2 linked regions of the Oryzias latipes genome follow. The protein of the gene in region 2 binds, or shares a complex with, the protein of the main gene of each other region. Links are inferred from orthologs where the notes say so. Each region holds a gene or a part of one and is shown on either strand. Other genes may lie near its edges.

Evidence for each region.
Region 1: heterogeneous nuclear ribonucleoprotein Q (region 2) and dhx9 share a complex: the UniProt entries of both Homo sapiens proteins name them as parts of the coding region determinant (CRD)-mediated complex. The link is inferred for Oryzias latipes from reciprocal best matches to the Homo sapiens genes SYNCRIP and DHX9.

What each region holds. Positions count from the first base shown.
Region 1 is NC_019875.2:12,671,918-12,675,669, forward strand, and holds the start of dhx9 (ATP-dependent RNA helicase A), read right to left. Parts: upstream 2,715-3,752; 5' UTR 2,617-2,714; intron 2,107-2,616; 5' UTR 2,036-2,106; coding exon 1,925-2,035; intron 1,855-1,924; coding exon 1,714-1,854; intron 1,486-1,713; coding exon 1,380-1,485; intron 1,308-1,379; coding exon 1,153-1,307; intron 980-1,152; coding exon 831-979; intron 371-830; exon of another isoform or gene 311-370; intron 225-310; coding exon 178-224; intron 1-177. UniProt on the Homo sapiens protein: Multifunctional ATP-dependent nucleic acid helicase that unwinds DNA and RNA in a 3' to 5' direction and that plays important roles in many processes, such as DNA replication, transcriptional activation, post-transcriptional RNA regulation, mRNA translation and RNA-mediated gene silencing.
Region 2 is NC_019882.2:1,562,509-1,566,008, reverse strand, and holds part of heterogeneous nuclear ribonucleoprotein Q, read left to right. Parts: intron 1-40; coding exon 41-217; intron 218-318; coding exon 319-454; intron 455-544; coding exon 545-750; intron 751-1,336; coding exon 1,337-1,486; intron 1,487-1,572; coding exon 1,573-1,694; intron 1,695-1,778; coding exon 1,779-2,385; 3' UTR 2,386-3,500. UniProt on the Homo sapiens protein: Heterogenous nuclear ribonucleoprotein (hnRNP) implicated in mRNA processing mechanisms. Component of the CRD-mediated complex that promotes MYC mRNA stability.

The DNA of each region.
Region 1 (3,752 bases), on a different chromosome or scaffold from region 2:
AAAATTTCAAAATGCTAAAAAATACAAGCTTTCTGATACTTAAAACACAAGAGAAAAGGTTTTCTATTTGTTAAGGAAAGCACCAATTTCTATTTACTGGCTCTGCTAAAATAAGCGTAAAGAATCTCAGCACAGAACCGTCTCTGTGGTCTCATGTACAGACATGTCAAAACTTACTTCTGCCGAGCTTCCTCACGAACAGCTGCATCTCTGCTATGAAGCTCCTGCAGACAAATAACATGGCAGAGTTACATCCCGTGCCTTTCAAAGTAAAAGCCTAAAGCCAAGCATCCCTCAGGAGCAGACTCACCTGATGTGTCCTCAGAAAGAAACCTGGGCGTTTTTCTGCCAGACTTTCAGGTTTTAAAGCCTACAATGAAGAGCAACACCACAAATCACGACCAGAGACCACGGAGCTGCACCCATGGGGGGGCTTTAGAGAACCTAAACGCCATCCCCATGTATTTCCTCAGCGTGGTCGTGAGTTCTAGTGTCGCTCTGCAGGCTTTGAGTTGAGCATGTGGCTGTGAGGGCTCTCCGGTGTAGCCGGCACACGCAGGAGCTCTCTGGGTTTGCAGCAGTCCGGCAGAAAAACACACAGGTGCTACCAGTGAGCGGCGGGCCCAGGAGTGTGGCCCCTTTCAGAGGAAACATTTACCAACCCGAGAAGCTGCAGCTTTTTAATTAGAGTTCATTTGTCAATACCCCACTCTCCCACCCCCACCTGACAGATCTGAACAGCAGAAAAGACCAGATCCAGACTGACGAGAGACCTGGGCTCGTCAGGCTGGATCTGGTCAGACGGCTTGTAGGGGAGCGCTGATCCAGACCTGTTGTGATCGGGTCCCACTTGGCTGTACGTGTACTCGGAGGTGATCTTCTCCTGCTGGAAGAACCGGTTGAGACGGGCCTTGGCGTTCTCCAGGGTCCAGTTTCCGTGCAAGTTTGCATTCAGGTCTACCTCCTCGGATTCCAGCGTCTACAACAGGAGAGCCGCATTAGTGGGACCGGTACTAAGGCAGAGCAGTCCCACCTGTTATGAAGCCGCCTAATGTTGTCACAGTCATGTGACTGCAACATGTGACAACACAGCTCAAAAGGACCGGGATCTTCTTGAAAAGCAGCTTCATGGCACATAGCTGGCTCCAGTACCGCTTGAGCCTCCTGCTCATCCCTCCGGGCGTAGTACTCCTTCAGGTTGGCTCCTCTGTCCCACTCAGCCCCTCCTCCTCCTCCCCCATTGCCACCTCTAGGAGGGAACCCTTGTTCAGTCTGTCCTGGAGGTGCATTGATGAAGGCATCAGCCTCTGAAAACAGAAACCACAGGATGAAGAGGACTGAAGTCAGGGAGCAGCAGGTTAGGTGTGTTCGGCTCAAACCTTTCTCCACCTTCACCACCAGGTGGGGGGGCAGCGGCCCGCTGGCTGGGAGGGTTCCGAAGCTTCCCGGAGGTCCTTCGGGCTGGTTGGGTTCTGGAGCCACGGCCTGGGTAGAACAACAAAAGGCCGTCAGTTCCGGTTAAGTGTTCGCTGCCCACTGGTAAACTTTTGACTAATCCTTGCAGTCTCCCAGTCTTTATGGATCTTGACTTTCTAAATGGTTTTCTGTTCTGGCCTGAACATAGCTGGATGCTCTATTGATTGGAAAGATGTTCCTCTGGTTTGCTTTGTTTTTACATCTCCTTTAAAAAAGCGTAAAAAAAAGCTTTCTGACCCCCAGAGCTGGAACCTCTTCAGCCTTCATCTCCCCGACTCGGACCAGATAGTTGACAAAGTCCCTGGCGGCGTTGGTCTGAGCATCCTTCTTGCTGGTGGAGTTTCCCATCCCCACATAGGTGAAGCCATCCACCCGCACCTTCAGGAGCAAACAGAGACGTTACGGGAGAGTCTGGTTACAAACCAGCTGGCTGTGAATGCAGACCGACCTCACACATGAACTTCTGCCGGTTTTTGTTGCCCGCCGCCCGGATTTCGTAGTTGGGAGTCAGCTTTTTCTTTCCACACCAGGCGTACAGGAAATTCTTGATGTCCGCCATAGTGGCGAGCTTCCAGCTCCGCGTGGGCTTTACCTGCGAGCTTCAGGTGTGCCCTGGTCCCTTAGTGTTGCCTGTAAAACACAGAGGTGGCTCTGAACAACCGCAGAATCACTGGCAGGCGTCACATCAAAACATACAGTGTTGTTCAGGAAGCTACAGTAAACCGCTGCCTGCGTGCGTGTCGTAAAAGAAACCCTAAACAGAAAAACATATGTGCGCCGACACACACACAGGGAGAAACGATAACAACACTAACGTTACTAAGTCACGGGGGAAATGTTTGACCGTTTTTATACTTCAGCTAGCCACGTGCAGCTCCTATCATCAAGCAATAATGTGATCCTCCATGCAATATTTTTCCCCAATTGATCCCACATTGAATCATCAGTTGCAACTGAGACAACTACAACGAAAATGCTAGTATGCTAACGTTAGCTTCATTCATCAACCGGTGTAAACGTTGACAGACGCATTGAGGCTAAACTAACTAACGCCAGTAAGACACGAAGTACGTATGCAAAATAAATATTAAAAAAGCAAACATTTTCATTCTAACATCAACGACTACATTCAACACCTACCGTCCGCTCAGTCAAGTCTGCAGTGCAGATTCCTGCAAAGCGGCAACAGCGGAAGCTTTGAACTCTTCTACCGCGCAACAGCGCCACCCTCTGTTCTGGAGGTGAAATGAACTGTTAGCTCCTGGCAGTGAGTTGATCCTTTTTTATCAACGCCCCTCTGCATGATGATTTTTTTTATTCTACTGGGATGAGAACTAGATTTCTGTCTTTTGTCACTCTAGTTGGTTTCCTTTACTCAAATTACATTGTGGTTAACATCAACCCATTGTCCACAAGGATTATAAGTGGCCACTGTGTCATAAACATTCATAAAATCAGTGTAAGTTTTTGTTGTTGTTGCTGTAATCAAATTTAAATTATTAAAATTATTCCAACCCTGCGAGAGACTGGCGACCTGTCCAGGGTGCCCCCTGCCTTCGCCCACAAGTGGCCGAGATAGGTTCTGGCAGCCCCGTGACCCCGAAAGGGAGCAAACGGAAGAAGATGAATGAATGAATGAATGAATGAATGAATGAATGAATTAACGAATGAATGAATGAATAAATGAATGAATGAATGAACGAACGAATGAATGAATGAACAAATGAATGAACGAACGAATGAATGAATGAATGAATGAATGAATGAAAGAACGAATGAATGAATGAACAAATGAATGAACGAATGAATGAATGAACGAACGAATGAATGAATGAACAAATGAATGAACGAACGAATGAATGAATGAATAAATGAATAAATGAAAATTTTTCACAATTTCTCCTTCATGAATTCAATTCAGCATTTATGTAAGTTCCATAAACAATCAGAAGTTCAAATTTCGAGTAACAACTATGGAAATATTAATCTTGCTTCTGTGTGATTCATATTTGGAGCACGAAATATGGACTCCAAATGTAAATTATATTTTAAATCAAGTCAACAAAAACCTTTTATTTTGTTACGTGGGATGTTCCATTGTTTTTCTCACGAATAAATTTTGTTTTAACAAATCAGTTTATTTTTATAAAACAAAAATCTTCAAATGACCAAATCCTTGTCTAATTTCTAAACTTCTCATCTGATTTTAATTTAAGAAAAAACCAGATCTCTCTTATAAAATGACATAGCTGTAACATGACCTGCATTGTAAGGTT
Region 2 (3,500 bases):
TCACCTGTATTCTCTGCATTGAATTCTCTTTTTCTGGTAGATCTTTGTTGGGAAGATTCCCAGGGACTTGTTTGAAGATGAGCTGGTTCCTCTCTTTGAGAAAGCTGGATCTATTTGGGACCTCAGGCTCATGATGGACCCCCTAAGCAGCCTTAACAGGGGTTATGCTTTTGTTACATTCTGCGCTAAAGAAGCAGCACAAGAGGCGGTCAAACTGGTGAGTTCATGGAGTTATTTTCAGACAAAAACTTTCATTTTCAAATTAAAATGGGCCGAACGGCCTGTTCCTGACCGTCATCCTGAAATGCCTTTTTACAGTGTAATAACTACGAGATCCGCCCCGGAAAGCACATCGGTGCGTGTATATCTGTCGCCAACAACAGGCTGTTCGTTGGCTCTATTCCCAAAAGTAAAACAAAGGAGCAGATTGTTGAAGAGTTTTCAAAAGTCACAGGTACGACCGGGGTTCCTGTCGGTACTTGAAGAACTTTCCTTAAATATAAATCTTGTGATTTATTTTGTTCTGAATCTTCTTTGTGTCCAGACGGCCTGAACGATGTGATCCTGTACCATCAGCCCGACGACAAAAAGAAGAACAGAGGCTTTTGTTTCCTGGAGTTTGAAGACCATAAAACAGCCGCTCAGGCACGGCGCAGGCTAATGAGTGGGAAGGTCAAGGTCTGGGGCATCCTGGTCACAGTGGAATGGGCTGATCCCATCGAGGATCCCGACCCAGAGGTCATGGCCAAGGTGAGCATCACCCTTTGAAAACCTGATGCTGAACTGAGAAACCCAATGCATGGAAACGCCTGCAGGCCTGTTCCTTTGCCCCCTTGGGGAAGGATGGGTTTGTTTGAATGTTATCTGGCCAAAGCGGTACTCTTCAAAAAGTGTTACTGCATGACAGAGTACTTAAAATGCTTAATGTCCTTATTTTTAACAGTCTGCAGTGCACCTCTGTTTTCACACACACAAGGAAACATATTTTACCTCTCATCGCCACGGCAACAGACTTTTTTCAGAGCAGTGCACATTATCCGTCGGGTAACTGTATTAGGATCTTCTGCTGTGAAGTACAGACAAAGCTGCGCTCGCTAGAGTAAAGCTCCACCCCCACAGCCTCACGCCTTCTCATAGGAGCCGCCCACAATCACTGGAAAGGCAATATTATTGGCTAGAGTTCAGTAAGACTGGAGAGTGATACGTGATATGAACGAAGCCCAGAAATCTGTTTTTAATGGTTCTGGTAATGCGGCACACGTTGGTACAAGGATGTCCTGACAGAAGGAAGCTGCACAGGTCTGATGGGAAAAGCGTTTCTCTATCTGTGTTGCAGGTGAAGGTTTTATTTGTGAGGAATCTCGCCAACAGCGTTACGGAGGAGATTCTTGAGAAGTCTTTCAGTGCGTTTGGAAAGCTGGAGCGAGTGAAGAAGCTGAAGGACTATGCCTTCATTCACTTTGAGGAGCGGGAAGGTGCAGTGAAGGTACACACTTTCATTCAGAACCAGAGCATTCTTTCTAAAAAACAACACAAAAGAATGGACCTAAAACTGACCAAACCTTCATTTAGGCCTTGGATGAAATGAACGGGAAAGAACTGGAGGGAGAGCCAATCGAGATCGTCTTTGCCAAACCGCCGGATCAGAAAAGAAAAGAACGCAAGGCTCAAAGGCAGGCAGCCAAAACACAAATGTATGAGCTGTTAAATCAGCAGGAAAGCCTTCCTCCTCCACAAATACTGACTTTATGCTTCTGATTTTTTTTCCTTTCTGTCAGATATGATGATTACTACTATTACCCTCCTGCTCCCCACGCGCCCCCTGCAAGAGGCCGGGGCCGAGGAGGCAACCGGGGTGGATACGGCTACCCCTCCGACTACTACAGCTATGATGACTACTATGACTACTACGGCTATGACTATCACAACTACCGCGGCGGCTACGAAGACCCCTATTACGGCTACGAAGACTTCCAGTCCCCGAGCCGAGGGCGCGGCAGCAGCAGGGGCGCCCGTGGCGGAACTTCACCGGCTCGAGGACGCGGCAGCGCCGGCGCGCCGAGGGGCAGGCCCAGCTTCCCCCCGCATGGAGGGCCTGGACCGAGCCGCGGAGGGCGGGGAGCGAGAGGAGGCGTGCAGCCGAGAGGGCGAGGAGGGGTACGTGGTGTTCGGGGTGGCCGCGGTGGAAATGTAGGAGGAAAGCGCAAAGCTGATGGGTACAACCAGCCAGATTCCAAGCGTCGCCAGACCAATAATCAGAACTGGGGCTCTCAACCCATTGCTCAGCAACCCCTCCAAGGTGGTGATCATGCTGGTAACTATTTTGGTTACAAATCTGACAACCAGGAGTTTTATCAGGATTCTTTTGGGCAACAGTGGAAGTAAACCAGTAAGGCTTTCATAAAAGGAAAGAATTTATCCTTTCTGCCTTGTTTTTTCTCATTTAGAGACTTGATCTAATTGGCCCTCTATTCCATTTTGTTGCCAGCTTTATTTTTTTGTTTTTTCCACTCAAAAGTTAGTGACACCTGGCAGGATATCTTTATGTATATATTTTATCGATCCGCTTGGACTCGATCTAGTCACTCTCACCTGCTTCTGGCAAACTGCATTTTTTTCCTTTGTTGTTTTTGTTTTTTTAAGGTGGTCGTAAAAGATTCTTCAAATCCAACTTTTCCAACATTTTTAGATGCGAAATGTGCTGAAGCTGTCTATTTGGCTGTAGCTTAATGTATGTTTTATAGAAATTCTGATTTTAATGTTTTAACTAGTTAAAATAAAAAAGCTACCAAGCTTCTGTCTCCTAAAAATGTATTTAATAAGAGTGAAATTACAATTTGTATTGTAAAAGTAATGCGTGTCTTGTTATTGAAAAGAAAAAAAAAAAAGGACAACCGTAGTCCTCATTTTTGGGCTTTACATTTTGGCTTGTATTCTTTGCTGTTTGTCTGCTTTAATAAACATACACGCACACGTGTACAAAAACTTCAAATTGTGTCGCAAATTCATGTTTCGGCAAATTCTCTTTTCAAATTTTCTTCAAATTTAAGGCTCCATGTGGAAGAAGGTGGACTGAAGGTTTGCCATTGTTGGCCATATGCTACAGTGTCACCTTGCATGCCATCCAGTTCCAAGTCACCTTCTGTAGTCGGCATCTCAGAGCTCTGTCTGTGTAGTGGCGTACCTCATGTCCCAAAACATCTCACTAATTGGTGTCCCAAATTCACTGTCAACGCAGCGACGTCAGAACGGCCTGGGGGGGGGGGGGGGGGGGGGCACAAAAGCACAATTGGATTGTAGCCTCAGACTGAAGCTTTTCCTGGTCCCAGAAGGAACTTTGCTGTTCACAGCGTGGAAACTAAACCTGCATGTTTATCTCCAGGTTTGGCGCCGGACTTGTGTTGGGAAGCAGCGCTTTGCATGCCTCCTCCCTGTAGATCTGATTTATGCCCTCATTCCTGCTTCACCCGTGTCTCTGCCATCTCAGCCTTTCCCCGCTG